Linked DNA regions of Canis lupus familiaris. The protein of the gene in region 4 binds, or shares a complex with, the protein of the main gene of each other region. Links are inferred from orthologs where the notes say so. Each region holds a gene or a part of one and is shown on either strand. Other genes may lie near its edges.

Region 1 (6,364 bases), on a different chromosome or scaffold from region 4:
AATTCCCTTCTAGGGGTGCCTGAGTGGCTCAGTCAGTCTAGCATCTGAGTCTTGATTTCAGCTCAAGTCTTGATTTCAGGGTCATGGGATTGAGTCCTGCATTGGGCTCTGTGCTCAGCGTGGAGACTGCTTGTCCCTCTCCCTCTGCTCCTTCCCCAGCTTGCACCCACTCTCATGCTCTCTCTCTCTCTAGAATAAATAGATACAAATCTTAAAAAAAAAAAATCCCTTTTTATACCTAGATGTTGACGGTTTTCATCAGAAAGGGTAGCAGATTTTGTGAAGTACTTTTTGTTGCATCTATGGAAACAATCATGTAGTTTTTGTCTTTTATTCTATTAATATGACATATTACATTAACTGATTTCCAGATTTTAAACTAATCTTGCAATTTCTGGACAAATTCCACTTGGTTATGGTGTATAATCCTTTTTGTATGTTGCGAAAACTTGGTCTGCTAGTTATTTTGTTAAGGAGTTTTACATCTATATTCATAAGAGATAATGGTGTGTAGTTTTCTTTGAGTGTCTGATTTGGTATCGGGGAATGCTGACTTCACAAAATGAGCTGGGAAGTGTCTGGATTATTATTACCATTTGAACTTTCTCTAGCATCTCCCATCTTGTCCCAGAGACTCCCTCCAGGTTTTGCTCCACATCTCTGCACTTTTCACAGCAAAGCTTCTCCCAAGAGGTATATACATATACAAACTATGCTTCTTCACCCTCTCAAGCTTGGCTGCTGCCCCAACCATTTCACTGACATCATTTATAAAGTTCCCTTTTGTGTTTTATACTTACCAAAGCCAATGATTATTTCTTAGGCCTCATTTTGCTCAATTTCTCAGAAACATGCACCATGGGTGAGACCCTCCTCCCACTTTCTTGGCATTCTAGATTTTCCTAGAATCCAGGCTTTTTCTCAGTCAATAAGCAAGACCCACTTCCTTCTTTAAAGTTTGCAATGGAGGATCCCTGGGTGGCTCAGTGGTTTAGCGCGGGCCTTCGGCCCAGGGCGTGATCCTGGAGTCCCAGGATCGAGTCCCACATCGGGCTCCCTGCATGGAGCCTGCTTCTCCCTCTGCCTATGTCTCTGCTTCTCTCTATATATATCTCATGAATAAATAAATAAATAAATCTTAAAAAAAAAAATAAAGTTTGCAATGTCTGGGACACCTGGGTGACTCAGCAGTTGAACTTCTGCCTTCAGCTCATGATCCCACGGTCCTGGGATTGAGTCCCATATCATCTGCTTCTCCCTCTGCCTGTCTCTGCCTCTCTCTCTGGGTCTCTCATAAATAAATAAATAAAATCTTAAAAAAAAAAAGTTTGCAATGTCTGCAAATTTGAACATGCAGATAAATCACCCAGGATCTTGTTAAAATGAAGATTTTGGTTCAGCAAGTCTGGGGTAGAGCTAAAGACCTTACACATCCAACAGGCTTCCAAATGATGCTGCTGCTGCTGGTCTGGGAATCACACTTTGAGCAGTAAAATTGCAAATAGTCCCACATTCTGGATTTGTCTGAGGTGTCTTTCAATTTGTTCCTCTCTTCTCTATATCATTTTAGGCAGCACTAATGGTTCTCAAACTTTGTTCATATTAGAATCATCTAGGGAGCTTTTAAAAATCCCTATGCTCAGGCCATATACCCTGTATATAATAAATCAAAGTATCTAAAATGTAGGGCCCAGGCATCAGCATTTTAAAGCATTCCAGGGGCACCTGGGTGGCTCAGTCAGTTAAGCATTTACCTGGCCATCTCAAACTTCATTTGCTTCAGAATGATATCTCTGCTTAAAATTGTTCTTCCGGGATCCCTGGGTGGCGCAGTGGTTTGGCGCCTGCCTTTGGCCCAGGGCGCGATCCTGGAGACCCGGGATCGAATCCCACATCGGGCTCCCGGTGCATGGAGCCTGCTTCTCCCTCTGCCTGTGTCTCTGCCTCTCTCTCTCTCTGTGTGTGTGTGGCTATCGTAAATAAATAAAAATTAAAAAAAAATAAATAAATAAAATTGTTCTTCCCCTCCTACCCAATGACACCACCATTCCTAGTCATTCAGGCCACAGACCTAGGAGTCATTTCTGAGTCCACTATGTCCCTCATTCAATTCACCAAGTAGTCCTGATGAGTACTTCAAATCCATCCATTTCTCTCCATCTGCAAGCCACCACCTCAATCCATGATCTTTCCTTAATACCTACCCAGCCTTCCCACCAGTCAATTCTCCCTGCCATGGCCAGAGGGAGCTTTTTAGAATGTAAACTAAATTCAGTGTTCTCTGACTAGAAATTGCTAGTGTTACACTTAAAATATTCAGTCCGGGTCTACCTCTCAGTCAGGGTCTCCAAACTCAACTCTTCTTCTTTTTTTTTTTTTAAAGATTTTATTTATTTATTTGAGAGAGAGTACATGAGCAGGGAGAGGAGCTAAGGGAGAAGCCAACCCCCAACGGAGCAGGGAGCCCAATCAGGAGCTCCAGCCCAGGTCTTCAGGATCATGACCTGAGCGGAAGGCAGATACTTAACCGACTGAGCCACCCAGGTGCCCCTTCTCCAAACTCAACTCATTACTGGCAGCTCTAGCTACACTGTTTCTCAAACAAGCTAAATTTATTCTAGTTTCAGAGCCTTTGCATTTGCTTTTCCCTCTGTTTGGAAATTTCTCCCCCCAGATCAGTCCACACCTGTCTCTGGTCACTCAGGTCTATATTCAAAGGAGAGGCTTCCCCTGACCACAACTCCACTCCCAATTTAAAGCCCCTATCGCCCTGATGAATGAATTACTAGCAATTATTAACATCTGAAATCACCTGTTCCCTCCACTCCTGACTTTTTTAACGCCTGGCTCCCCCAGGAGATCGGAGACTGTCTTCTTCATTGCTGTGTTTCCAGCACCTGGACAGTGCCTGGTATATGGTAGGTGCCTAACAGGTATCAGTTGAAGGGGGGAGAAGAGCTAAATTTCTACAAAACGTCTATGATCTAGAAGTCTGAACCCCATGGCAGGGAGTACTTACAGCAGCTCTGGGCTGGCTGTCAGGATTCTGGGTTCCTTAGGAGAAACGGACTGACGTGGGTTCGAATTCCAGCCTAGCTGCCAACTAGCGGCGTGACTTCGGGAGAGGACCTTAACCTCTCTGGGCCTCAGCTGTCTCATCTGCAAATAGGAGATTAGGGATGTGGGGACGTGAGTACATTGAAAGCGTCCTTTCCCAGCACGTCCCAGCCCCGCACCTCAAAAGGTCATGGTGCCCTGACCCTGCAGCTGCGTCGCCCTGGGCCGCTCTCCCGCCCTGCCGGCCCAGAACCGGTACCCCCTGGACCCAGCAGCTCGAGCTCACTTTCCCCACGCGCGACCTACATACTCACGCGGCAAGCCGCGGACTCCGGCCCGGCTCTGTCTTAACTCTGGGCGCCGCCATCTTACCCAGATTGCTTCCAGGTCACGGGCCACCAGGGAGCAGCAAATCAAGAACGCGGGTTTAGAGAGATCCCGCCCCAAATGGAGGAGCACCAATAGGAAAGCAGAAAGACCTTGGTCCCGCCTCATACCGGGCCAGGTCCCACCCCCATTACCGCCAGAGAGCTGGGCGGTGGGGAGAGTGAGTGGACCGTTCCCGCTGGGAGGCTGGACTTGGGGGCCCTGTGAATCCACCTGGAGGCTCCGGTTTTCCCACCTGAAATGTGGGAATGAGATATTAAAGGTAGAAGTGATGAGATTCCTTCATTTGTTCAACTAACCTTTACTGAGCGCTAACCGTGTGCTAGGCGCAGGGTTTTCTTACTTTTTTTTTTTTTTTTTTTTTTAAGATTTAATTTATTAATGAGAGGCACAGGGAGAGGGAGAAGCAGGCTCCACGCCGGGAGCCCGATGCGGGACTCCCGGGATCACGCCCTGGGCCGAAGGCAAACGCTCAAGCGCTGAGCCACCAGGCGTCCCTGCTAGGCGCAGTTTTAAGCGCTGTGAGGATACAGCTCTGACAGCAGAGAAGGAGACAAGTTCTGCTCATTGGCTCCGTGATTCTGGGCTAGTGCCTAACTCATCTGTGCCCAGGGTTTTCTCACCCTGGGCCAATTATAATAACTTCAGGGGATTTTTTTGAAGTTTGAGCTAATCTATGCCGAACAGCCATGTAACTGCCATTGTTACGGGGAATTCACCCTAACACCTCCCTTCACCTACCTCACTGGGAGGGCAAAGAGCCTGGTTTGACACCTTGGGCCAACCTCACTGAGGCCCTAGGGTCCAGTGGGGTTCTGAGTGTTTTTGTGATTTTGCCCTGTGGCCCCAGGTGTGCACGTATGTGTGTACTGTACTGCTGGGATGTGGAGATTTTCGTGAATTTTTATAGCATTTCAGAACTGAGCAAAGGTGTGTAGGTATGTGTGTGGCAGTGTGACTGTGGGTCAGGAATGGGCCCCATGTATGTCAGTGGGAAGCAAGCCTGTCTGGGCATGGGTGTATGTGGGTCCTTGTGTGTCCACGTGTCAGTGGCTGCATGTGCACCTGTAATTGTACAGTCTTCTGGGTGTCTGTGATTCTGTGCATGTGGGAGGGTGTGGACTTTGTCCCACAACTCTGAGGGGCTAAGCAGTAGGTGTGTCAACATTTCTGTGACCATTCCCATGCCATAATGTGTATGCGATTGCACTTGAACACTGGAAAGTCATTGACTGTGATGCCCTGTGTGTTCCCAACTTGTGGATGAACCATCAGTGGTGTCCACTGTCAAGACACACATGCAAGTGTGACACCTCACCCCTGTCTGTGTGCGACTGTATTAGTTTCTGACTCTGTATATGCATGACTGTGCTCATGACACCCTGTGTATTTCTGTGTGTGACTCTGTGTCCCAGCAATGGCATTACAGGTCTGCCTATGCCAAGCCTGGGACGGTCTCTGATGTGTGATTGTTTGCAACTGTTGGTATGTGTCTCTAACACCCTGTGTGTCTCTAACTTGTATGGGTGTGCTTGTCCCCCACCACTGGCATGTCAGTGACCGTACAGGACACTGTCTTTGTGCCTCAGTATCAGTCGATTCTGTGACTACGGGGCCATGTCCATGACAATGGTATGTCTCTATGCCTCTCTGTATGACTGCGCACCCACCTTAGTGGGGACTGTCACTGTGTTTGTAGCATCCCATGTGTATCTCTGTGTGTGACTGTGTGTCCCCAACCCCCAGGGTCTTCACTTGGCTAGCTGTATCCTTAGGTGTGTGTGAGAGATGCAGTGTCTGGATCTCTGGATTTGTACTTCTCTTCCTCTGTGTGCAACAGACCTGTGATCCCAGATAATCCCCTTGCCTCGGGTCATGGCAACATTGCCGATAGTGCAGCTGGCATTCTCCCACTTGCTGTGGGACCTGGGCAGTTGGGCAGAGGCAGTACCAGGGGCGTGCACTTGGCCACAGCACAATGGCCACCCCAGGCCATCCCTATGGCACCCCCCTGCCCCATGGTTCAGCCTTCTGACTTCATCTTGCACCGAATGAGCCCCTGGGCACTCAGCCAGCGTGTATTCAGCAACCTCTGGCTGGCCTAGGAGTGCTTTGGACTCAAGCAAATGCCTCCAGTGGGACCTCAGGTAGTCCGGGGGCAGGGCCGAAAGGGCGACGGCAAGAGAGGGGTGAGGCCTAACTTGCCCTTGCTGGTGTGTATTCATCCTCCTCTCCCTGGGCATCAGCACTCTCAGCAGGTACAACCCGCTTTCCTCGGAGACAATCAGCATTTACATCAGCCTTGCTCTGTAAGAGTCAATGGGGCCCGGGTTGGGGAGGGGGACATTCTCCACTCCTGCCCCTGCTCTGCACCCCTGGTGGTGTGGGGAGCTGGCAGCATGGGGAAGTGGGATGGACACTGCTGAGGATGGCCAGGTGATGAAGGGACCTCTTCAGGAAGGTTCTCAGATTGAAGCTGGCCCAGCTAAGGAGACTCATTGGCCAGCCTGTTGTCTCTCTCTATCCAGGCAAGGCAGAGGTTGGCCCAGGGCCTTGACCCCTCCATGCCAGACCGCAGCTGTCCTGTCCAGAGCTCCCACTGTGTCTCCCATTAATAAATAAAATATTTTTTAAAATAAAGAATAAATAATAAATAAAATAAAAAATATTTTATGGCTTGAGCTATGTGATGATTACACAGGTTTATATGTATGTAAAATTTCACCGAGCTCTCCATGCAGATTTGTACATTTTATTTTATGTAATGCCTCAATTTAAAAGTTTTAAAACATGATCATTGATTCATTGAGTTATAATTTATACATCTTTCTGTATGAATAATGCATTTTATAAGTATAAACAAACGTCAGTGAGGATTTGAACAAAGTGGAATCCTTGTACACGGCTGGTAGGAATGTAA
Region 2 (6,285 bases), on a different chromosome or scaffold from region 4:
GCAGTTAAGCATCTGACTCTTGATTTCGACTCAGGTCATGATCTGCGGGTTGAGATCGAGCCCTACATTGGACTCCCCACTCTGGTGGGGGTGGGGGGAGTCTGCTTGTCTCCCTCTCCCTCTGCCCCTCCCCCTGCTGTCTTTCAAATAAAAAAATCTTTAAATAAATAGATAAATAGATAAATGAATGAATGAATGAAGAAAGAAAGAAAGAAAGAAAGAAAGAAAGAAAGAAAGAAAGAGAAAGAAAGAAAGAAAGAAAGAAAGAAAGAAAGAAAGAAAGAAAGAAAGACAGACAGACAGACAGGCACAAATATAAGAAATATACCAGGAAAGTCTAACCAAAACAATGCTGGTAATTCTAATATTGATATGATAGACCTGGAGAGGAACAGGAGGGATAAAGAGGACCCTTTATACAATGATAATTGGAAAAAAGTCTCCAGAACATTCTCTATCGTGTGCACCTAATAATATGGCCTGAGGATACCTAAGTAACAGAATTAAGAAGCTTGGTCTGGAATCGGTGCACACAGAACTCTGTACCCAACAATGAGATATACCCACTTCAAGCACAGAAGGAACACTTCCATAATTGACCTGTATTAAGCCCACAGAGCAAATCCTGACCAATATCAAGGAATCAAAATCATATAGTCCTCATTCTTTAACCACAAATGCAAGTAAAGTAGAAATTGGCAACAAAAGAGCAACCAGAGAAAATTAGCAACTGTGACTGCTGGGTAGGGAATCAGGATTTGGGCTTGGCAGAAGCAGGGAGACCAGCTCAGAGTCTAAGGAGCGGGTGAAGGAAATGGGTTGGATGACGGTGGGGACAGTGAGACGGACAGAAGCGCTCTGACCATCTTGTACAGTCACGTATACCCGACACCTAACGCAGTACCAGGTACACAGCCGTTGCTAAAATCCAGGTTATAAAAAATGCAAAGACTAGTCCAAGGTGCTGAAATGAATTGCAGCTCCATCCTCCCTACAGACAGGCCAGGCTTCCATGGCCCGGTCACCAATGCCTCACCTGCCTGGACCCCAGGTTAGTGACAGGTCAGCCAGCCGGGCTTAAATCTCCTTACATCCTTGCCTTATAGCTCCTCTTTTTTTTTTTTTTTTAAGATTTTATTTATTTGACAGAGAGAGAGAGTGTGTGTTCACGCATACAAACACACAAGCAGGGGGAGCGGCAGGCAGAGAGAGGGAGAAGCTTGGAGCCCCATGTGGGGCTCAATCCCAGGACCCCAGGACCCCAGCCCAAGCCAAAGGTAGATCCTCAACCCACTAAGCCACCCAGGTGCCCTGGTTCCTTATTTTTTTAAACATTTTTAGGGGATGCCTAATATAAAACTATACTAGATGTTTCCATACCTGTGATCTCATTTAATACACCCAACACCTATAGATTAAGGCCTGCAAAGTCCACTGCTACAGATGAAGAAACAGACTGGGCTCAGGCAGGTTACGTAACTCACCTTAAGACCCTTATCTTGCAAGGGATTTAGACCCTCACCTGCCCTGCTTCCCTTCTCACCGCCTCAGAAACCAAATGGTGCCCTCGTGTAGTGAAAGAGCACATTGGTTCCAATCCCAGGTCTGACCCATCTGCTGTGGGTCCTTGTACAAGTCACTTAACTGTCCCAGACCTCAGTGTGTCCACGTATAAAATGTGGGTGATGATCACACAGCAGCTACAACAAATGGTTATGAAAACTATGTGGGTTAATATATATATGAGGTGCTGGGAAGAGAGGCAGACATAAACTCTCAAAAAACACTAGCTGTTTAGTATTTACCTGTTGAAAGAATCAGCTATGAGTCTCAAATAAGAGTCGGCCAATTAACTAAAACTGAGCCAGAAAGGTGGGCAGGCATAGACTGACTGCTCTCGAGTTAAAATGCAGACATTTTAGGCACACTCAGTAAACATGCACCTAAAAGCCCTGATTTTGTCTCAAGCAACTCAGACAACCACAGATTCTAGGGTATCCCTATGAGACTATTGTCAGAGGGATCCCTGGGTGGCTCAGCGGTTTAGCACCTGCCTTCGGCCCAGGGCATGATCCTGGGGTCCCGGGATCGAGTCCTGCATCAGGGTCCCTGCCTGCATGGAGCCTGCTTCTCCCTCTGCCTGTGTCTCTGCCGTTCTCTCTGTGTCTCTCATGAATAAATAAATATTTGAAAAAAAAGTTAAAAAAAAAAAAAAGACTTGCCAGGACGCGTGGCACAAGTCCACGCCTTCATCATCTGATCTAGCATGTCTCAAGCTTGGTACCATGCACACCTGGGCTGGGTAATCTAGGTCATGGGGGGCTCCCCTGTGCGCTGCGGAGGTTTAGCAGCATCCCTGGCCTCTCTCCACTGGATGCCAGTAGCACACTCACACTACCCCACTCCACCCCCAGCTGTGACAAGCAAAAATGTCTCCAGATGGAACCAAATGTCCCCTGGGGGACAAAAGCATCCCCAGCTGAGAGGCACTGCGTTTGTCTTCCTGGCAGACACCTTTCCAGTGGGATCTGGAGCAGAGCCCCTTGTCCCAAGTTCAATCCTAGATGCCCTAGTAAGAAAACAGCCTGGGGCAGGATCGGGTCAGGATGACGGAACCAGACCACGCGGGGCTTCAAGCGCCCCCCCGTTTATCCTCAGGCACACGGGTAGGTGGACGCAGGCTGGGAGGCAGCATGCAGAGGCCACCTCGGTCCTGGGTGATGAAAGAAGCTCCAGGGCAATGCGGGTGTGTGCTTAAAATGCTCTGCCTCCAGAAACCAAATGTAGCATTTGTAACGGGCAGAGCATTTACACAGAGCTGCTGCCTTCACATCGCCAAGCTCTCAGCCTCTGCTAATGGTCTCCAGGGGCAGGGCTGGCCCTCTTCCATCTTCAAGATGATTCAGGTTTCCTGGAGAACAAAATGAGCCTCTAATGCCTAATATTTTCTCTCTGACAGATGGTTTCAGATGTATCAAAGTGCTAATCCTCGCTGAGGTATAGGTCTCCAGGAAGGAGAGTTTGGCTTTTAGGATGATAGAACTTGAATGATTAAGGAGGAAAATTACTCCCGGGGTATTGGGCATTGTCATGTGAGCAACCCGCTTTTAAAATGAAGGAAGACAGCAGGAGCTGAAAAAAAGATGTGGGGAAAAACTCAAAACACCCAGGTTTAACAGTGTAGGTCTGAAACATTTCCACTCAAAGCTGTCCCTGGGAGTGGCAACGAAGGGCCGTAAAGACACCTTCAGGCTCAGGATGATCAGGGCTCCATCTGCCTCCCTCCAGTATCACCAGCCCCGCCTTCCGGGGAGGGAAGACCTGCCTCGCAGCTCACTGGCTGTGCGACCTTGGGCCTGTCGCACGACCTCTCGGAGCCTCAGTGTTCCCGCCTGTCAAATGGGCATGACGACGACCTCAAAGCGACGCCGTGGGCGTCAGAAGTGGCAACGCTTGGGGCTCCTGCCTCGGGCTGTGGGGGGGGGGGTGACCCCGCGGCAGGGCCTGCGGCTCTGCTCCCCGCCCCCCCCCACTCAGTGTGTGTGTCTTTCGTGAATAAATAAATACATCTTTAAAAAAAAAAGTGCCAACGCTCGTTTGGCTGGCACGTGAGCGTCCGGCCCCTGCTCCCCGAGAGCGCGGACAGGTAAGCGCTGCGGACCACGACGAGGCCACCTGGGAGTCTCCACGGAGGCCAAACGGGTCTCACGTTAGCGACGACCGGGCAAGTCAGGAGGGCGCCCGGGGGGAGGCGCGGGGTCTCGCGGCCGCTCGGCGCAGGGCTCGGCCCGGCCCGCCTGCCCCCCGCGCCCAGCTCCTCACCGCCCCGAGCCGGGCGCCCCGAGGCCGGGCCCCCGCGGGGTCACAGGGCACTCACGGTACTCCTCCGGCAGCAGCAGGGGCCGGAAGTAGATGGGGTAGAAGGCGGCGCCCAGCAGGGAGATGAAGCCGCCGAAGATGAGCGCCGTGCGCAGGTTCGGGGACATGGCGCTGGGCCCGGGCTGCCCGCACCCCGCGAGACCCCGCGAGACCCCGCGCGCCGGGCCGTGACCCCGCTCGGAAGAGGCGGAGCGGCTTTCGCTTCCGGGCCTTGGGGGCGGGGCCAGGGCACGGGGGCGGGGCCTGCGGGTGGGCCGGCTCGGGGCGGGGCCTGCGTGGTGGGCGGGTCGGGGGCGGGGCCTGCAGAGTGGGAGGGACGGGCCCGTCGGGGTGGGCGGAGCCTGGGGTGGGACCTGCGGGTGGGCGGGGCCGGAGGCGGGGCCTACAGCGTGGACGGGGCGGGGCCTGTGGGTGGGCGGGGCCTCGGAGCGGCGGCCGCGGTGCTGGGGGCTGGGCCGGCCGAGAGGGACTCTTGCTCCCCTGGGCGGTGCACACCCTGTTCCAACCCCCGCCCTGCCCGCGGCCCGGCCCCCCCTCCGCTGCTCCCCCCGCCATTCTCCGGACCTCTTGGGTCACCCTTTCCCCTCGACCAGCCGCGCTTTCCCCTTCTCCCCACCCTTATCTGATTTCGGTGACTTTCCGCCCCGAGCTGCGTGCTGTCCGCGGCTCGCTGATTCAGTCCCCCCGGCTGTGGGCCCATTTTACAGGTGAGGGAAGCGCGGCTTCACGAGTGACCGCGCCTCCTGGAGGGCTGCTGGAGGGGGTGAGGGGCCCGGGGCCGCGCGCCCGCCCCGGATGGCCTGCAGGGGGCGTCTAACCCGAGCACCGGGACTACGGGATCAGGACTAGGGGGGAGGAGTCTCGTGTCAACGTCGGGACGGCAAGTAGATCCGTCCTGCCTCCGCCTGCCCGCTCCGTTCCCTCTGCTGCACGTCTGGGTTGCGAATGAGGATGGGGAAGGAGTCGGATCCGGGCAAGGCGGGGAGCCCGCGGCCAGTCCCAGTGATGGGACCTTGGGGCTGTGCCTTACTGCCTGGGGTGGGGCCGCTGAGGTTGGACGTGCTCCTCCCCTTCCTAGGGTCGCCGTCCTCCGTCCTTCCTGGGGGTAGGCGGCGCTGTGGGGGCAGGCGAGGTGCCCAGGGGTACGGAGCGGCGGAGATCAAGGTTTCTTGGGCCTTCACTCAACCCTTTATGAATAAGGATGCTACCAGCGGCCCGGGCCGGGAGCAAGAGGCTAGTCATCCGGACCCCGGCGGTATTATTTAGTCTGCAGAGACGTACGGTCTTTCAGCACAGGTGTCCTCTCCGTGGAGCGTTGTCGCGGAGCCAAGCTACCGTCTGCCTCCGAGGTTCCGCGAGCAGATAAATCAGGTGTTGGATCCGTCGGCAGATTTATGGACCCTCTGCCGTACCCCAAACACCAGGCAAAGTGCTCCGAGGGACGCAAAGATGAATAAGCCGTGACCCTTTGCTCCCCGGGATCCTGCCACGTGGATAGAGACAGGACAGATACAGAAAAAGATGACTGAGGAGGCGGCGCAGCTTGTTGCGGATGAGTGATAGGGTCCTGCGGCCGCGGGACTTCCAGGAGGAAGACAGATGACTACAGGGGTTGGCAGCAGCTCCTCGGGGCTTGCGGGGGCTTGTTAGGGTGAGAACAGAGGACTCCTCCAGCAGAGAGGGGAGCTGGGATGCATATGCTTTGTGTCCCGTGATATAAAACCCCAGGTGAGCGCGCCTTTGTCATGTTAGCAACCGGGAGGCCACTTGTCTTCCTGTTAATAGCACCCGAGCATCTTGGCAAACCACTCCTCTCCCATTCAGTCGAGGAGGTAAACTGGGCTTCTCCTCTGCCCCACCCCCACCCCAATGATTTTTTTTTTTTTTTCCAGCTCTGAGAGGTCAGGGGATCGCCAAGAGTGACCAAGCTGCCACACCACAGGGATTGATTGGGACAGGGCCCAGGCCTGGTCGTCCAGCGAAGCCGCATCCTCCTGGCTGCATGACCTCACCCACGTTGAGCCAACCATAGTGTCTCCCAGCTGCTGGAAATCTGGATTTGAGCTTGAGGGGATCAGACGCTGGGGTCACTGGGCACCACCATATGGAGACTGAGCGTGAGGACAGTACAGCAGAAGCAAAGCCGAGAGATGGAGAGAAATCAGGTGCTGACATTACCTTTGAGCCCCTGGAGCGGGCTGTGCCTGGAAAAGGAGCTGCCCTTGGACTTCTCAGTGATAGGAGCCAATGAAGTTCCCTTTTCGCTGAAGCCAGTTTGACTTATTTTGTTTTGTTTTGTTGTTTGTTTGTTTTTGTTTACAACAGGAGTTCCAGATGAAGTCACCGCGAGTGGGATTTCGTTTCCTTGACAGATCCACGGGCTGCAAGTCAAGGATTACTCTATAG
Region 3 (6,443 bases), on a different chromosome or scaffold from region 4:
TGGCACCTGTTTGAGAAATACAGCCTATCTGTTGCTGTTTTGCTTTTCCATAACTAAAATAGATTTCATATGTCCATATTTGACAAATCAAAGATTACCGAAGTTCTAACAAGGCAATCACAGGGATTCATTTGAGGTCCCAAGACAGAGGTCCAGAGCCCAAGAGACTCATCTCCTGACTGTCCTTCCAGAGCTCTTCTCACCGTATTATATTCTATATCCTATTAGTATGGTTTTTGGTATATTGAAAGTACATTTCCATTTCTCCATAAAATAAACCAACTGCATATTTTCTAGGGCCACACAATTAACAAGTCAGTAAGTTGCATGCATGTCCTCATGTAGATTTATGGGTCTACAAAATTAAGCGCATACTTAGCTGACATAATTAGTAAGATGACATTTTGTTTGAAAACAATGTTTTCGAGTAATACATTTTGCCTGATAGCCTTGAATATATTCACTATTTTTTAAGTTTACCTTAAAAAATTATCTTCTGAGCCTGATTTTTGATATATGATAAACCAAAGAAATTAAATCAAGTCCAAATTAAGCCAACCTAATATGCTGCCATTTTTCTCAGCTCATGATATTTACACATATTCACATCTTTCATTAAAAAGGGAACCATGGACTCCTTATTAAAATCTAATTTTTCTGTAGTAAAACAATAAAAATCACCACCCACTTAGACCATCTGCAATCATTTTCAGCAGCTTATTTTCCTTCCCATAAAGAATGCAGACCTCACCAAATCACAGGGTGACAAGCAGGCTCCCTTGCCAGGCACTCTAAGTACGTCATTACCAGGATGTTCACTCAACTTACAAAGTAATAGAAGATTCATCACATAAAAATCATTCTGCTCCCCACTGACAGAGCTCTATATATAAAGACTAATTTTAGTGTTAGTGGCAAATTGATCTAAAGTTCAGACCTCAAATTTAAATGCTCCTACAGAAGTTTTGAAGGCATTGTCACCATTTTAGTTGTCACAAGTCCTGTGGTATATCCAGCACTGCAGCTACACTCAAGAACCAACTACTGCCATAATACAAAGGTGCAGAGCACCACTTCCAAAAACAACATGACAGGGTTATGGACCCTTGGGTGAACATGGGACGTAGTCCTGGAGATTCGGGAAAACAAAATTCAAATTGTCGATTGTTAAATAACAATTGTTTTTTCTACATAAACACAGACATTCGGTTTATTAGAAGACACGATACACATGAGTTCTTTGTATCTTACAAATCACAAGGACGTGCAAGCAAAGAGAATCATCAAGGTTGCAAACTGCTCTTCATACTGTCACTCCACCTGGCACACTAACCGAGATGATGGCTGTAAAGTTAGGGACCACTCACCACAAGGGACCATGACAGCACCTCTGACAAACTGGATCATTCACTCTGAAATCAACCAACCTTTGGAGTTAAGCTAAAGAGCCTTCTGGATTATAGCTGCAGCATCCTGCTTCTTGCCCCTTCCCCATCACCTCCAAGTTGCCTTCTCTCACTTAACAAGAGGACCACCCTTCAGCCGCAAGGTGCCCAAGGAAGAGAGGCAGAAGGGGATCAGGGGCCTGAACACCAAGGAGTGGCTATCAATAAGCATCCCTTCAGGGTTTGCCTAGCAGACCTATGGGGCTTCTGGGTGGCTCAGTTGCTAAGCAGTGGACTCCTGATTTCAGCTTCCACCATGATCTCAGGGTTGTGAGATGAAGTCTCACAGTGGAGCCTGCTTAAGATTCTCTCTCTCCCTATTCCTCTGCCCTCCCCATCTCTCCCTCACTCTCCCCCCCCCAACTCCATGGAAAGAAGGAAAAAAAGAGTAAAAAGAAACCAAACGAAAGGCACTGGAGGCCTCGAAATCCGAAATTCAGAAAGCTCTGCCCCAGGAAAACAAACTCCCAGACCAACCCGCCCACCAGAATTATCTGCTTAGAGGTTGTGTCCTCCATTCAGGAACCATGGGCGGGAGAGAAAATCGGTAACCTTTTGATGAGTAGATTCCAGAGCCTAATAAAAAGAACGAAAGGTGATTTTCCAGCCCCAGAAGACACAAGCTACTTTAGGGATGAGCTTTGAACGGGTGCCCTTGTGGCGACCCGCAGGTGCAGACCAGGGATGTGCACCTGCCCTCGCAGGTGGAGCGCATCCCGCAGGAGGCGCTGCTCCAGGGCTCCCAGCTCCCCACAGCGCCTACAACTGAATGAAGGGAAGGAGGAAGCCTGTTCCCCGGGTGGGGGGGAGCTAGGCTACTTGTATCAGGACGTGGGGTCTCCGCATGTTTCCAAGTTGAGGGGACGTCCTCCCGCGGTTCTCTGGACCTCTCCTGCACTAAGAACAGCCGAGAGTGAAATTAGTGGGGGAAGGTGCCGGGTACCGCCCCGCCCCGCGGCCCCCGACAGTCACCTGAACCCCGCGGGCCCGGGGGCCTCCCCGGCCAGCCCCGGGGCCGCGCCGACGCCGCCCGGCGGCCAATGCAGCGCCAGGAGGCCGCGCCAGTGCTGCAGCAGGAGTCGGCCGCGTCCCGTCGCCATGGAGACCCGGCGGGAGCGCCCGAGGCGGAGCGACGACGGAGGCAGGAGCGCGCCGCCCCACGCCACGCCCACTCGACGCCGGCGCGCGTGCGCAGGGGCGGGACGGAGGGCGGCCCGCCCTTCCGCCGGCTCGAGGAGCGGTTCTGGAAACTTCCGGGCCCTGCTTCTTCCCACGCCCCGCGGCCTGATGCCGAGGTCGCCGCGTGGCAAGCGGGCCGCCGAGTTTCGGTCCCGGGTGGGGGCACTGCCGCAACCTCGTCTCTCCCCAGCCGCTGGCTTTGGGGAAGTTTGTGCTGCCTCCCGTCTGGTGGCCTTGGGAAGAAACTGAAACACAGGCTACATCATTTCCCCACAAGCAACAGCAGAGCCATAGTCAGACTGAGAATTTCGCAGTTTACAGTCCTCTCGAAGGGCTGCAAGAACACCCAGTTCGTAATCGCTAATTTGATTGCCGCCCGTTGAGCGATCGCCCCGCCCACCCTGGCGCCAAATAGGTGGAGCGCATGCGCAAGGAACTCTGGAAGGTGGCGGAAAGGCCACGCGCTGTCTGGCCGCCTTGCACTGTGGGAGTTGTAGTCCCGGTGCCTTTCCCGCTGCGGTAGCTCTGCGAGGAGTGAGGGCCTCGGACTACTGTTCCCAGGACTCCCCGAGGTGTCCCAGGTTACTTTGCAGAGGCATGGCGGGTAGTGTGTGAATGTCAATACGGCAGGTAATTAAATCACTTTAATTCTAGTAGAAAGAGCGCAGAAGGGAAGAAGAGGTGGACACGGCTTCTTTCGGGAGCTAACTTTTTTGCCGAACAAGCCGTGCAGAATCACCGATGTGACTGTGTAGCGCTGAGGACACTCTGGCTGGGCGTGTATTGGGTGGTGAAGCTTTGCGGTTCCCCGCTGGCACCTTTGTAAAGCGGAGCGGTTTTCTGTGATCATGATTTGTACTTTCTTACGAGCTGCGCGGTGTGCGGAGAAGCTGTGCAGGTCGTCAGGGAAGCCGTTGTTTCCGCCACACTTCGTGCTTAACAGAGCTCGCTTGAAGACCGCGTCGGGTTTGAGCTGGGGTCTGCGAGAGCAAAAGAAAGCGGTACGACCTGAGAGTATCCTTGGAGTCACCCAGAAAACCATCTGGACGCAGAGGCAGAGCCCCCAGAGGGCAGGAGACGACGGCAGCAAACAAGTGTCCGTGCACAGCCAGAGAGGGGAACCCGTCGTCTCAACGTCACAGAAAGGTAACGGGAGTGATGAGTCTATCAGCAAACGTGGCGAGAGCGAGCAGGGTCCCTCCTTCGCACAAGTTCAGGGCTAAAGGTAGAAAAACGGTTCACGCAAATTAAAAGGTAGGACCGTTCAACACAGTGCAGAGTTTGAGACTATAGACCCACAGACTTCTTTTCTTCACAGACTTGAACTCGGATTTCAAAGTTGCTTTTTAGGTGACTTTGTTGAGTTGTGGCGAGAAAATGTTTCCCAGCTTTTATTACAACTTAACCGTTGTTGAGTACTTGATAGTAAGTCAGTAGACTTCACAGATGTGGTTTACCACAGTTGAGTTTCCTGTTCCCTCCCTCAAACATTAAAATTCTGTGTGTGAGGCACACTTCCCCAGTTTCACACAACGGAAAATTAAAGCCACATCTTCTAATCTTCATTTCCTAGTACCCAGGTCATTGCTCTTTAGAACAGCCGTTCACCAGTAGTTCTTGAGCTTCCATTTCCTCTGCGTACACTTGAGCAGATGCTAACGGGTGTGCCAGAGAGTTCCTGTACACAAACAGATGCACTCAATGAGGAGGAGGTAGGTACAGTGTGAAACAATGAAAACATGGTAGTTTGCTGCAAAGAGTACCAGAGAGCACAAAATAGATAGAGTAATTGGGTAGAATAAATAAAAGAAATACTATTGAGGCATAATCCGTGGGGACCTACTCAACGTAGGTCAGCCCAACACTGCTCCTGAATGACTGCGACGCCCAGATGTTGAGTTAGACTCTTCACGCTACAGAATTAAAGGTGTTCCAAACCGTTTACCTCCAAGTGACACGAGAAGTGATAGAAAGAACATATGTAATACGGAAGGCACAATGTCTTTCTGTCAGGGAAAGTCAGGTTTTCACAGATGAGATGATGAATTTAACGTTTATTGTTTATTTCTTCATTTCACGGTAATTTGTGGAAAAATAAGTAAAAAGGAAGCAAAGAGTTCAGACATCTTGATTTTACCATGCAGAGATGACTTTTGTTAATATTTTGCTCTATGTTATTTCCGTGCATATACTTTTTTTTTAGTGCATATATACTTTTTAACATTAACAAAAAAACCTGTATCCTAGCAATTGTTTTGTAATCTGTTGAATATGTAAAATACATGTTCATTCATTCATAATAGCCTGAACAGAGCTGTGAGGGATGATTAAAAGTTCAGCATGAATGAACAACCTGTATGCAGAGGGCAGAGGCAGAGACTGTCAAACAGCATGTGTCAGGTTGTCGCTCCAGCAATAGGGCTGCTTACGCTGCAGACGGGTCCTGCTGCAGAGTCCTGTCCTGATCTGGACCCCATTCAAAGGCAACAGCCTTCCTGGTGACTCAGCGAATGAGTGGGAGCAGTATTCCCAAATGTGGGATATGCTGCCCACAGCGTCCAAAGGAACCTATCACACACCACACTAGGGTATACAAGATGCAGTAGTTTCTTTTATTTGAGATGGAGTGTCTTAGCATGCCCCATGCAGTATACCCCTAAGGGTTTTGCTCATGTGGTTGGTGAGCTCTGGATCTGTTTTTTGGCCTCATCCCCCACATTTGGAGTACCTGTGTTTACCAAGCTTCCTGACACACATGCCACTTGTTACTTTGGGCTCTGACGAATATGATGGCATAAATAGAATGGACTATTGTGATGTCTTGCAAAATGTCCACAACAGCATTGTCCAAATAAAACTTTTCGCAGAGACAGAGATGTTCTGTACGTATGAGGTCTCTACATGTGGCTGTTCAGCACTTGAAATGTTGCTAGTGTGATTGAGGGACTGAGTGTTTAATTTTAAGTTAACGTAACTTTAAAATAACACTCACATAGCCATGTATGGTGTGTGGTTACTCTACAGGACAGCCAAAGTCCAGAAGGCTCAGGTCCCTAACAATCACATTGTAACACATACCTAACAAATCCTAGGTGAGACCATACATAGACGTTGTTGTCATTTTGTGTTCCAACAAGCACTACCTGTTGGTAGCAGGTGCTTCGTATTCTAAGTTTATCCGATTATCAGCTCTGGCCAAGCAAATTCCTTTTCTGAATTCCATTCTGCCAGTGGGGGCAGCCTGGTGGGAAGGTGACTGGAAGAGTTGAGGCCTATGCTGATCCCTTGGACTACAGTTAACAAAGCAAACACTTCATCTGTGAACAGAATGTGACCGGCACTGCCAAATCTGTAACATGTTTTCATGCCGAGGGCCTGGGGCACTTGTTTCAAGTGTTTTGTCATCTTAGAAAGTAAAGAAGTGTTAAAATTATACTACTAAATAAAATTAAAATACAAATTCCTTGGCCCAGAATTCTGCTGAGGTTCTTTTGAAAACTTTCTTTAGGTGGTTCTGATTTGTGGGGAGGCTTGAAAGCAGCTGTTCCAGCATGCATGCAGACCCCCCCGTAGGGTCCTGGGTCCACATCTCACCCTCCAGAAGTGCTGAAGCCATGCGCGTTCCTGCCCATCTGGCACACCTCTAACTCAGTGGTGCTTTCTGTTTACAGTGAAAGAAGCTGGAAGAGATTTTACCTATTTGATAGTGGTGCTTATTGGAATCACCGTCACAGGTTGATCACAGCAAGTATAATGTCTGTCCCTAAAATCTGTTTAATTAAACATTTGTCTTGCTCTTGATTTGCTTGATCTTCTTTT
Region 4 (6,420 bases):
GTCTCCAAGAAGAGTAAAAATTAACCTCATGTGATTTTTATTTAAAAGAATTATATCACAATCTACAAGACTTGTCACATGTCTGATACAGGACCTGGAATATACAAAGAACTCTTACAGGAGTAGCTAGCTGGTTCAGTCAGTGGAGCATGCAACTCTTGATCTCGGGGTTGTGAGTCTGAACCCCACGTTGGTTGCAGTAATTGCTTAAAAAGTAATCTAGGGCTACCCTCCCAGGTGGCTCCGCGGTTTAGCACTGGCCTTCAGCCAAGGGCGTGATCCTGAAGACCTGGGATCGAGTCCCAAGTCAGGCTCCCTGCATGGAGCCTGCTTCTCCCTCTGCTTGTGTCTCTGCCTCTCTCTGTCTCTCATGAATAAATAAATAAAATCTTTAAAAGACAAAAAAAACAGGTAATGACAAGTGCTGGCGACAACATGAAAGGATTAGAACCTTCATATACCGCCAATCAGAATATAACAGAATAGACACTTTGGAAAAGTCTGGCAGTTCCTCAAAATGTGAAACATAGAGTTACCATATGACTGAGCAATTCTAATCTTAGGTATATACCCAAGAGAAATGAAAACATGATGATGTTTACACAAAAACCTGGACATGAACGTTCCTAGCAGCGGTATTCATAATGGCCAATACTCAAAGGTCTACCAACGGACCAATGGATAAAGGGTAGTATATCCATACAATGAGATACTATTTAGCAGTAAAATGGAATGAAGCGCTGATACAAGTTACAACATGCCTGCATAGGCATATATATAGACAGCAGATTAGTACCTGCATAGGGGTAGGAGCTCGGGGGAGTAGGGGAAAAAATCAGAAGATTCCTCATGGGTCAAGGCTTCTTTCTGGGGTGATGAAAATACTTTAAAATTGATTACAGACTGCACAACTTTGTAAATATACTAAAACTCAATGTATATTTTAAACAGGTAAATGCTACAGGTATGTGAACTATTATCTCAATTAAGCTGTTACTTCTTAAAAGGATTTTCTTTCTAGCGTATCCCTAGCTCTTAGGACAGTCCCTGGCAATTATAGGAATTCAATAAACTGACAAAATGGAAAAATAAACTTCAAAAGGCAGGTAAACCATTGCAAAACTTTGTCACACCCAAAGTAATGAAATTGCTACATACTGTAGCTGGAGCATATGGTGTGTGTGTTGGCGTATTTTCCATCAAAGGAGACTGAAAAACTCAGCATCAGCAAGGAGACCTTGAAAGGTCTGGAAGCCGGGCTAAGGAATCCGCATTGCCCTGAATCAACAGGAAGGCCGGTAAGATTGTGAGCATGGGAATAACACGATCAGATGGATTTTCTATGTGCAGAGTTTAAGCAGAGGTTTGTTAACTTTTTTTTTTTTTTTTTAGATTTTATTTATTCACAAGAATACACAGAGAGGAGAGGCAGAGACACAGGCAGAGGGAGAAGCAGGCTCCATGCAGGGAGCCCGACCTAGCACTGGATCCTGGGACCCCGGGATCACGTCCTGGGCCAAAGGCAGATGCTCAACCACTGAGCCACCTGGGCTGCCCGGTTTGTTACTTCTATGCAAATATGAAATAGAGGGGGAAAAAAGTGCCTTAGAAATAAAGCACAAGTAAGAATGAGGAACATTCAAGGAACAAGTATCAAAGTGTAAGAATCTACGGATTTTTAATATTATACACGACACACCGACTGACGCTCACACATGCTCATATGTCCTTGTCTCCAACAATCTAGTCATTTCTACTGTCAGAACCCTGCATGGAATTCAAGAGTGATGGGGACTAAAGTCACCATGACCAACTGTCAGAAAATTCTTCTCTATGATCATCGAGGCAGGGTCTTCCTCACAGGGTTGTAACTCAGGACCATCAACAAAGTGCCCGATTCCACCGCTCAGAGGGGACGCCCCACTCTTCACAAATGTGCTCTCAGGTACGCAGGGCCGGGCAGGGTAGGGCAAGGTAGGGTAGGGCCGGGTAGGGTAGGACAGGGTAGGGTAGGGCAGGGCCATCCAAGCCGGGCAGGGTAGAGTAGGGTAGAGTAGGGCAGGGCCAGGTAGGGCCAGGTAGGGCAGGGGAGGGGAGGGCCAGGCAGGGTAGGGCAAGGTAGGGCAGGGCCGACTGGGCCTGGCAGGGTAGAGTAGGGCAGGGTAGGGTAGGGCAGCGCAGTGTAGGGCAGGGCCACGCAGAGTAGGGTAGGGTAGGGTAGGACCGGGTAGGGTAGAGCAGCGCAGTGTAGGGCAGGGCCACGCAGGGTAGAGTAGGGTAGGGTAGGACCGGGTAGGGTAGGGCAGCACAGTGTAGGGCAGGACCACGCAGAGTAGGGTAGGACCGGGTAGGGTAGAGCAGCGCAGTGTAGGGCAGGGCCACGCAGGGTAGATAGAGTAGGGTAGGGTAGGACCGGGTAGGGTAGGGCAGCGCAGTGTAGGGCAGGGCCACGCAGAGTAGGGTAGGGTAGGGTAGGGTAGGACCGGGTAGGGTAGGGCGGCGCAGTGTAGGGCAGGGCCACGCAGGGTAGGGTAGGGTAGGGTAGGGTAGGACCGGGTAGGGTAGGGCGGCGCAGTGTAGGGCAGGGCCACGCAGGGTAGGGTAGGGTAGGGTAGGGTAGGACCGGGTAGGGTAGGGCAGCGCAGTGTAGGGCAGGGCCACGCAGAGTAGGGTAGGGTAGGGTAGGGTAGGACCGGGTAGGGTAGGGCGGCGCAGTGTAGGGCAGGGCCACGCAGGGTAGGGTAGGGTAGGGTAGGGTAGGACCGGGTAGGGTAGGGCGGCGCAGTGTAGGGCAGGGCCACGCAGAGTAGGGTAGGGTAGGGTAGGGTAGGACCGGGTAGGGTAGGGCGGCGCAGTGTAGGGCAGGGCCACGCAGGGTAGGGTAGGGTAGGGTAGGGTAGGACCGGGTAGGGTAGGGCAGCGCAGTGTAGGGCAGGGCCACGCAGAGTAGGGTAGGGTAGGGTAGGGTAGGACCGGGTAGGGTAGGGCGGCGCAGTGTAGGGCAGGGCCACGCAGGGTAGGGTAGGGTAGGGTAGGGTAGGACCGGGTAGGGTAGGGCGGCGCAGTGTAGGGCAGGGCCACGCAGAGTAGGGTAGGGTAGGGTAGGGTAGGACCGGGTAGGGTAGGGCAGCGCAGTGTAGGGCAGGGCCACGCAGAGTAGGGTAGGGTACGGTAGGGTAGGACCGGGTAGGGTAGGGCAGCGCAGTGTAGGGCAGGGCCACGCAGGGTAGGGTAGGGTAGGGTAGGGTAGGACCGGGTAGGGTAGGGCAGCGCAGTGTAGGGCAGGGCCACGCAGAGTAGGGTAGGGTACGGTAGGGTAGGACCGGGTAGGGTAGGGCGGCGCAGTGTAGGGCAGGGCCAGCCGGGCAGGGTAGAGTAGGGTAGAGTAGGGTAGGGCCAGGCAGGGTAGGGCAGGGTAGGGCAGCGCAGGGTAGGGTAGGACAGGGCTAGGTAGGGCAGGGTAGGGCAGGGCAGGGTAGGGCAGCTTAGGGCGGGGCAGGGCCACCTGCTGGCGGCCCCGAACCCCCGAACCCCGGGGCAGGCGGGCGAGGGGGGCACCCTGCAGCCCCTGGCAGCCTCCTGCAGCACCCGGCAGCCCCCTGCAGCCTCCTAGGGCGCTGCGCCCACAGGGGCCCCGACACCACGCAGGCAGCAGGCGGGTTGCCCCCGCGACCAAGCCCCGGGAGGAGACCCCCGCCGGCAGCCCCGTCGCGCACACACACACACACACACACACACACACACACGCAACCGTGCAGGCTGCGGCGACAAACGTCTCCGAGGGTGAAAGGAACGCGAGGCTCGGAGCCGCGGGGGCGCTGACCTTTCCGGGCCGCAACCGCGCGCCGCAGGAAGCGCGCGCCTGCCTTCCTTCCGGGGGCGGAAGTGCGGGTACGCGCGCCCCCAGGCCGGCCCGCCCCGCGAGGAGCAGCGGAGACTTCCGGCGCGGCGTCCCCGCGGGCTAGAGCGTCCGGACGCGCCGGGGCGGGGGCGGGGGCGGGGGCGGGGGCGGGGCACGCCGGGCCAGGTCGGAGTCGCGGGCCGAGGCCGCCGCGGACGCTCGGCCCCGCCCGGGGAGCGAGGTGGGCCCCGCAGAGCCCGCCCTTCTGTCCCGCCCCGCGCCGCGCCGCTGCGGCAGCCCCCGCGGAGCCCACTCGCCGCCTTCGCCTGACACACGGCAGCACGACAGTCTTATCCATCCAATCGCTGCGAAATGCCTACGGCGCTCCAGGGAATGCGAGGGCAAGAAGAAGAAGAAGAAAAAAAAAGAAAAACGTAGACGACTTGAGTTAAGTAGCGCGAGGAACGGTAACAGCATTTTTACCCGGTGCGTTTGTTCCAAGGATGTAAAGCGCTCAGGTGGCGTCTGGGCCTCCGCGGTCGTACGCCGCAGCCGTGCCCACCGCCCTGTTGGTCGTCCTGCCGTCACCGCGTAGGAGGATGGCGGCCTGGGAAGCCCTCGGCTGAGGAAGAATTCTTGAGAGGACTTCCGTGCAAAAGAGGTGGGTTTGGGTTTTTTTTTTTTTTTTTAAGATTTTACTTATTTATTCATAGACACAGAGAGAGAGAGAGACCCAGGCCGAGGGAGAAGCAGGCTCCACGCAGGAGCCCGACGCGGGACTCGATCCCGTGACCCCGGGGTCACGACCTGGGCCGAAGGCGGGTGCTTAACCGCTGAGCCCCCCGGGGATCCCCAAGAGGTGGTTTTCATTAAACGTCTACTGACAGGACCTGTGGACAGAAAGCTGCATGGGGTCGTGAGGGGTAGTAATTATACACCTTCAACTTGGGGTGGGGGGCGATAGTCTCTAAGTCTGTAAGTTTCAAAGGAATTCTGGAAACAAGGTTGCCAGGACCTTGAAGGCGTTAGTTATTGTTGGGAAAAGGTCATATATTATTGTCTAATAAACCCTTAGGGCGCCCGGGTGGCTCTGCGGTTTAGCGCCACCTTCCGCCCAGGTCGTGACCCCGGGGTCGTGGGATCGAGTCCCGCATCAGGCTCCCTGCGTAGAGCCTGCTTCTCCCTCTGCCTGTGTCTCTGCGTGTTGTGTGTGTGTGTCTCTCATGAATAAACAAATAAAATCTTAAAAAAAAAAGATAAAAAAAGAAAACATTGATCATAAGACACCCCACCCCCCCCACCCCCCCGCCAGATACGTATCCATAGGTCCTGTGCTTGGAAGATGGTTGCTAACATGTATCTTGACTCCAGAATAAAAATAAAGGAAGTTTCCAAAGGAATTTTTATATGTTAAAGAAGACCTGCAGGGTCCTGGCGGGTCAGGCCAAGGTTGCCCTTTTGCCCTTAGCAAAGCCAACATGGGGGCCGCTGAGCCCGTAGAAGAATGTCACTCCGCCCGTTTCAAGGACTCGTCAATGGGCTGCAAGTAGGGAGGGAATTAATTTTCCTTCTGCCTTTGTTTCCCACATGATTATCGCCACTATTACCATCATTATTGACTTTTTTTTCTTTTCACGTAAGTTTGAAGTCCAGGTACCTTTCCTCCAAAAAAGTAGGGTCTCGGCATTGGTGGGTCCCCTAAATTTGATGTGTTACATGACCGGACTAGTCAAGTGTAATCTCATGTCGTTTAAACCTGGAGCTCACCCTCTTTCTGAAGTTCTTATGGGGATATCTAATACGTTTCCTTATTTTCTGATAGAGGTGAAGATAAAATGAGTTTAGGTAGCGCTAGTAATGTTGTAAGTGCCCAAAATTATTAGCTATTGTTGTTGAGACAGGGATTCTACTTCTTAGAGCCACAAGTATCCTTATCTGGATTCTCTCTCTCTCTCTCTCTCTCTCTCTCTCTCTCTTTCTGTCTTTCCTATATATAAGGAAAGGATCTGTTTTGCTACCTGTTAACTTCTAAGGATCCAGGGCAGGGGTAGGAGGTGGAGAGATGAGAGACGGTTGACTAGAGTGCTGTCAGTTGTGGGGTGATATTAAGTGGTCAAATGGTTGCTTTAAGAAATGCACTTAACAGCAACAGGATGGAACCACCGTGTCTAGTGTCTCTCTCAGCAGCAGCCTAGAACTATGAAACTAGAGTTTCTACGTATGGTAGTTCATATACACGAAAGTATCATTTTCTGCTTATTAATATTCTAACTAAGTGATTTTATTGTTTGGAGTTGGGTCTTTTAGATTTTCTATCATTACAATCATGTCATTGAGATGATGACAAAATCCTTTCCAAATTTTATACCACTAATTTGTCATATCTAACTGTATTGGCTAGTTATTTCCAATAAAAATATTTAATAATAGTGAACATAGTATAGGCTTCTTTGTCTTATTCTACCTTTAACGGGACATCTCTAGAACTTTCCCATTAAGTATGCTACTGGCTTGGGAGACTAAGGTAAATCTTTTATCTTTTATCATATTAAGGAAGTGCCCAGCTACTAAGAGAATAG
Region 5 (5,680 bases), on a different chromosome or scaffold from region 4:
AGCAACTCTGCTGGTGCTAAGCTTCAGGTAATTTCATTTTTTCCACCTATATTCTCTCATCTGCATATAATATCTGGGTTAAGCAAATAACAAACATACCACTATGCACACACTGCTCCCTTTTTGTCCTTTCACCTCTCAAGCCCTTTGGTCAACACTCACCAAGCAGCCTCAAGTCAGTTTTGGCTAAATGCATGATCAGATTCTCATACCAGGAAGGGAGAAAGGTACCTGCTGTGATTCCTGCTTCACAGCCAAGGTGGATGGGGCTCCCCAGAGTGAGGATAACTTGCCCAGGTCACCTGATAAATTAAGGTAAGGCAACAACAAAGAAAAATAATCAGGGGCGCCTGGCTGGCTCAGTCAGTTGGGCATCTGCCTTCAGCTCAGATCATGATGCCAAGGTCCTAGGATCAGGTCCTGTGTTAGGCTCCCTGCTCAGCAGGGATCCAACATCTGCCACTCCCTGTCAGTTACCCTCGCTTGAATTCTCTTTAAAAAAAAAAAAAAAAATCTTTAAAAAGATTTTATTTATTTGAAAGAGAGAGAGAGAGAGAGAGAGAGAGAGAGAGAAAGTGAGTCCACGAGCAGGGGGAGAGGCAGGCAGAGGGAGACGGAGAAGCAGACTCCTAAGCAGGGAGCTCGATGAAACAATGACGACCAATGATGACAAGGGGCTCAATCCCAGGACCCAGAGCTAATGATCTGAGCTGAAGGCAGACACCCAACCAACTGAGCCACCCAGGTGCCTCTAAAAAAAAAAAATCTTTAAAAAAAAGAAGGAAAAAAAATGACAAATAGCCAGTTTAAAAATGGGCAAAGGAGGGGGTACCCAGCTGGCTCAGTCAGGGGGAGTGTTGCCACTCTTGATCTCAGTCATGAGTTGGAGCCACACGAGAGGTGTAGAGATTACAAAAAAAAAAAAAAAAAAAAAAAAAGGCTTTATAAAAAAAATAGGCCAAAGGATTTCAAAATACATTTCTCCAAAGAAGATGTATAAATGGCCAGTAGGCACATGGAAAGATGCTCAACCTGGTCAGTCACTAGGTAAATGTAAGCCAAACCATAATGAGATACCACTTCACACTCCCTGGGATGGCTATAATTTTAAAAATGCACAATAACAAGCACTGGTGAGAGGACGTGGAGGAATTGGACCCTTCCTTCTACTCCGCCATGGGCAATGAAACATGGTGCAGCCACTGTGGGAAACAGTCCGGCAGTTCCTCAAAAAATTAAACATACAGTTACCATATGATCCAGCAATGCTGCTTCTAGCTGTATATACCCAAAAGACCTGAAAACATACAGTTCACACAAGGACTTGTATATGAATATTCACAGTAGCATTACTGATAATAGTCCCCATGTGTCAACAGTCCAAACGTCCATGAGCTCATGAACAGACAAATATGGTGTGTCCCTACAATGGAATATTATTCAGCTACAGAAAGGAATGGCAAGTGCTACAACGTGGATTAACCTTGAAAACATTATGCTAAGAGAAAGAAGCCAGACACAGAAGATTGCATATAGATTCCATTTACATGAAATGTTCAAAATAGGCAAATCCACAGAAACAAAGTAAAGTAGCAATTGCCAAAGACTGGGAAATGAGAAGATTTCTTTCGGGGGATGAAAATGTTCCAGAATTAGGCCACAGTGATAGTTGTACAACATAGTGAATAAACTAAATAATGCTGAGTACATTTAAAAATTGTGTATTTATGTGATGGGAGTTATAGGTCAATTAAACAAAATAATAATCTAACTCCAAGAAAAAAATTAGGGAAGGGCTTCAGGACCCAGGGTTGTGCATTCAGAGAACCTGAGCTGCTTCAGTGCCCACTGGTCTGCTTTCTTTCACTCATCGGGAAGAGGAATCCTTTCCCTGCTCAAGGCAAAGGAAGCCTCACAGATGACACACTCCCTCTTCTGGGAGCCAACTTTTCCATTCTGTTAATTTCCCATCGAAGAACTCTGCACAGTCATCTGGCAAGCACGCACTGGTCAGCTACAGGCAGGGATGGGACAGGAAGTTGGGGCCCACAAGCTGTACCATGAATCCACACGCTGTCCTCACAGGGGCTGCTTTCAAAACGCACCTTAAACCCGCCTCCGACTTCTCCAAGGACATTTTCGATGGGCACCTTGGTGTTTTCAAAATGGACCTCGCAAGCTGAAAAAGATGAAATTGAAAGCCTTATGTAATGAGTACAGACTACTTGCACTTGATCAATAGGCATGAAATGTAATTCATTCATTCATTCAACTCATTCTCCAGCTACTGAAAGACAAAGGTCCTGTCCACATGGAGCTCATATTTTGCTAGGGACATGATGGATGTTCTAATACTACAAATAGAAATAGAGTGGGGACAGAGGTCAGAGAGAGAGTAAATAGTATTTTTGTTAAGGGCTTCCATCAGGCTTTTCTAAGAGGACACTCAGCAGAAGTTTGAAGGAGGAGCACAAGCCAGAGGAAGAACCATGAAAGTGGATGGCACAGACTTTCTGAGGTCCCTGGACTCAACAGGAGGATGGATCCCACTTAACTCAGATGTAGTCACACCCTGCACTATGCCTCTGTGGAAGCAAACTGCCTTTCCCTGCCTTGTCCCTCCAGCTGTCACCAGGGACACAGAACCCACCTGACACGAGCCGTGGCCTTCCCAGTGCTGGGTGGTCTGGCTCAGGCCCCCAGACGCTCCTGTGATTTGCTATGAGAACAAGCCCTAGCACGGTACACAAATGCAGCAGATCGGGATCCAACCACAGCCCGGAGCAGGCCACCCAGCACCTGCAGACTGAGGGTGACAAAGGCTCACCCTCTCAGATAAGCGCTGGGGTGGATCCTCAGACAGGGTGACAGTGGCAGACCTTGAAGTAAGGAAGCGCTTAGTGTGCAGAGGCAGGCAGAGAGGGGAAAGGTGCCAGTGGCAAGGACAGAGGCAGGAGGCAATGGGGACTTTTGCACCATGTTTTCTGTAGCAACATGTCTTCACATGCTGTCACATCAAGACTGCAACTCCTGGCAACTTAACACTGGAGTAAAGGGAGACTCAGGACAAAGGTCATGGCTCAAAAGGAGCCAAACAGCAAGCAAGCTAGGTGTGAGCAACCAGGTCTGCTGACTATTCTATTCCAATAGCTTGGTTGTGAAATATAATGAAATCATTTCGGTGGCTGCTGGCTCCTTTTTTATGACACATGGGCTACAGGGCCAGGCCCTTGTCCTAGTGGCTCTCATTCTTTCACAGGCTACTTTGTGTGGGGAGGACCCTCCTCATTGACCTCACCTGGGCCACTCGATCCACTCTTTGTGGGGCTGCTGCATCCCAGGGGCAGCACCTACCCTGACTTCACTATGGACACTGCCCTGGCAGTGGTGCAGGGCTACCACCCTGCTCTCCCCCTCACCTGGGTCACACTGACCATCTTCTCACCAGCACACCAGGCTCTTTATCTTGGGCCTTTGAGAACACTCTTTCCTCTGCTGGAATGTTCTACGTATGAATAAGCAGAACAGTCTGGTGGTACAACCTGCTTCCATGTGCATGAAAGCACTGTACAGGCATCCAAACACTCCTTTCCCAGGTCACATCGCTATGTGCGTTATCACCTCTTTGCAATAGGTGAGGAAAAGGAAGCACAGGAAAGTAAACTAGCTTGTCTGAAGTCACGGAGTTTCTTGGAGCCAAGTCAGTGCTCAGGGTCCTCTGACCCCATCGAACCAGGCCGAGGTAGCAAATATTGCCATACAGAACCCAGGATCTCAAGACGGGATGGCAAACAGAAGCGGGTCTGGAGGCACCAAGGGCAGCAGACAGTCCCCTGCAGCACAGATACTCCACGATCTGAACTAGGAGCCCCAAGAGGCAGAGTCTTGTGAGGACTCTGTGACAGTGCTGGTCAGGACAAGAGCCACTTACAGGACACCAGCCTCAAGGGGACCAAGTGCTGTCCAGGAGCTGCAGGTGGGCCTGGGGGGGGGGGGGGGGGGGGGGGGGTATGAGGGAGAGCAAAAGGCAGGAGGTTCTAGGTAGGAAAGATACGGTGTCCTGCAGTGAAGTGTTTACCTCGGATACCCTCTGCCTCCTTGGTGTCCACTATTGCCTCCCCCATGGGACAAAGTGCTCCACAAGGCTGCAATGAGCTCACATGGAGATTAGTATGCCTGCTGCATGGAGGGGGATACAAGCAACATGTGTTGATAGAGTAAATTAGCTTCAATGAGCTCCTCCACACTGCCATGGAGTCACCATAGCATTCTTAATGTGATTTTGCTGACATGCTTATGTGGAACCAAAACTATTTACATCTCATTTTATCTTGAATTTGGATTGGGCTGAGGGGTGCCCCCCCGGGTGCCCCCTCCCCCCGCTACTTACTGTTGGAGCCACGTATGCCTAATTTATCCTCGGGTTTCCCATTAGTGACTCCACCAAAGTCTCTCTCTACTATGAGTGCTGTGATTTTGTCTTTTACGGAGCCGTCAGAATCCACCACCTGTGTCTTTGCAAACACAGTAAAAACATTGGCGATTCCTCCATTGGTGATCCAGATCTGAGCAAAGAAAGAAAAAGGGGTTTGGAGAAAACTGGACTGTCATACACCACCTCTCAGCTCCACCCTTTCCCAAGAGACACCCCAGCTGCTTGTCAAACCTCAGGCCAGAAGCGTAAAGCTCTTGGTGCTGGAAAAGCCAAGCCTGTGTGGACAGAAGACAGGGGCTCACCCAGTCTCCCCAGATCAAGGATTTCCCCAAGAGGCACAATGTGTGTGTGTGTGCACAGACGTGAAACCAATGGTACGGAGACAGTCCACGCTCTTAGAATCAAGGAGTCACGTGTCCTCAAGAAAGCAAAGCAGGCAGGCAGGAATAAGGAGACAGGAAGGGTGGGGGGGTGGGGGGGAGATAAAGGGATTTTTCAACAAACTGGGATGTATGAAACTTATTTGGCTCTTGATTCAAGCAAATTGTTGGAAAATACAAAGGTATGAGACACCAGGGAAACTGGAATGCTGACTACACAAAGAAATGATAAATTTTTAAATGTGTTAATGGCATTTTGACTTTGTTTTTTTAAGTCTTATCCTGTAGAGATGTGTTGAAACTCTCAGGGATGTGATGCAGGGATGCTGAGCAAGGAAACAAGGTGGGTTAGGAGCTAGTTAACTGCTGAAGCTGGTGCCAGCTGCGTGCAAGTTCATTACACTAACCTTTTCTATGTATTTGAAAGTTTGTGTAATAAATTAAAAGAACACACAACAGTAGCTCAGGGAGGTAGCTGATTCTGCATCAGCATGTAGACTCTGGAGCCAGAATGCCTTGCTTCCAACTTGCTTCCAATCCTGGTTCTGCCACTGAGCAGACATAGGATGCTTGCAAGACAAGACACTTTACTTCTCTGAGCCAGTATCTTCTTCCAAAAAAAGAGAATAGCATCTGGGTGCCTGGATAGCTCAGTTGGTGAAGAATCTGCCTTGGGCTCAGGTCATGATCCCAGGATTCTGGGATCGAGCTCCTGCATCAGGCTCCCTACTCAGTGGGGAGTCTACTTCTCCCTCGGTCCTTCCCCCACAGCTTGTGCACTCTCTCAAATAAATAAATAAAATCTATAAAAAAAGAGAGAGAGAGTAACATCCATCTGAGAGCTGCCTCAACAGCATACAAGAGA

What was found.
Region 1: COA1 (region 4) and ECSIT share a complex: the UniProt entries of both Homo sapiens proteins name them as parts of the mitochondrial complex. The link is inferred for Canis lupus familiaris from reciprocal best matches to the Homo sapiens genes COA1 and ECSIT.
Region 2: COA1 (region 4) and SMIM20 share a complex: the UniProt entries of both Homo sapiens proteins name them as parts of the MITRAC (mitochondrial translation regulation assembly intermediate of cytochrome c oxidase complex) complex. The link is inferred for Canis lupus familiaris from reciprocal best matches to the Homo sapiens genes COA1 and SMIM20.
Region 3: COA1 (region 4) and TIMM21 share a complex: the UniProt entries of both Homo sapiens proteins name them as parts of the MITRAC (mitochondrial translation regulation assembly intermediate of cytochrome c oxidase complex) complex. The link is inferred for Canis lupus familiaris from reciprocal best matches to the Homo sapiens genes COA1 and TIMM21.
Region 5: COA1 (region 4) and ACAD9 share a complex: the UniProt entries of both Homo sapiens proteins name them as parts of the mitochondrial complex. The link is inferred for Canis lupus familiaris from reciprocal best matches to the Homo sapiens genes COA1 and ACAD9.

What each region holds. Positions count from the first base shown.
Region 1 is NC_049241.1:50,243,927-50,250,290, reverse strand, and holds the start of ECSIT (evolutionarily conserved signaling intermediate in Toll pathway, mitochondrial), read right to left. Parts: upstream 3,521-6,364; 5' UTR 3,372-3,520; exon of another isoform or gene 3,237-3,371; intron 3,160-3,236; 5' UTR 3,020-3,159; intron 1-3,019.
Region 2 is NC_049224.1:85,086,129-85,092,413, forward strand, and holds the start of SMIM20 (small integral membrane protein 20), read right to left. Parts: upstream 4,064-6,285; 5' UTR 3,987-4,063; coding exon 3,878-3,986; intron 1-3,877.
Region 3 is NC_049222.1:5,152,446-5,158,888, reverse strand, and holds the start of TIMM21 (mitochondrial import inner membrane translocase subunit Tim21), read left to right. Parts: upstream 1-2,697; 5' UTR 2,698-3,472; coding exon 3,473-3,770; intron 3,771-6,295; coding exon 6,296-6,358; intron 6,359-6,443. Other genes in the region: FBXO15 (F-box only protein 15), read right to left, coding at 2,418-2,545. UniProt on the Homo sapiens protein: Participates in the translocation of transit peptide-containing proteins across the mitochondrial inner membrane.
Region 4 is NC_049239.1:6,614,269-6,620,688, reverse strand, and holds the start of COA1 (cytochrome c oxidase assembly factor 1 homolog), read right to left. Parts: upstream 4,344-6,420; 5' UTR 4,325-4,343; exon of another isoform or gene 4,089-4,324; intron 3,909-4,088; exon of another isoform or gene 3,824-3,908; intron 1,946-3,823; coding exon of another isoform or gene 1,934-1,945; exon of another isoform or gene 1,919-1,933; intron 1-1,918. UniProt on the Homo sapiens protein: Component of the MITRAC (mitochondrial translation regulation assembly intermediate of cytochrome c oxidase complex) complex, that regulates cytochrome c oxidase assembly.
Region 5 is NC_049241.1:3,200,905-3,206,584, forward strand, and holds part of ACAD9 (complex I assembly factor ACAD9, mitochondrial), read right to left. Parts: intron 4,566-5,680; coding exon 4,391-4,565; intron 2,180-4,390; coding exon 2,106-2,179; intron 1-2,105. UniProt on the Homo sapiens protein: As part of the MCIA complex, primarily participates in the assembly of the mitochondrial complex I and therefore plays a role in oxidative phosphorylation.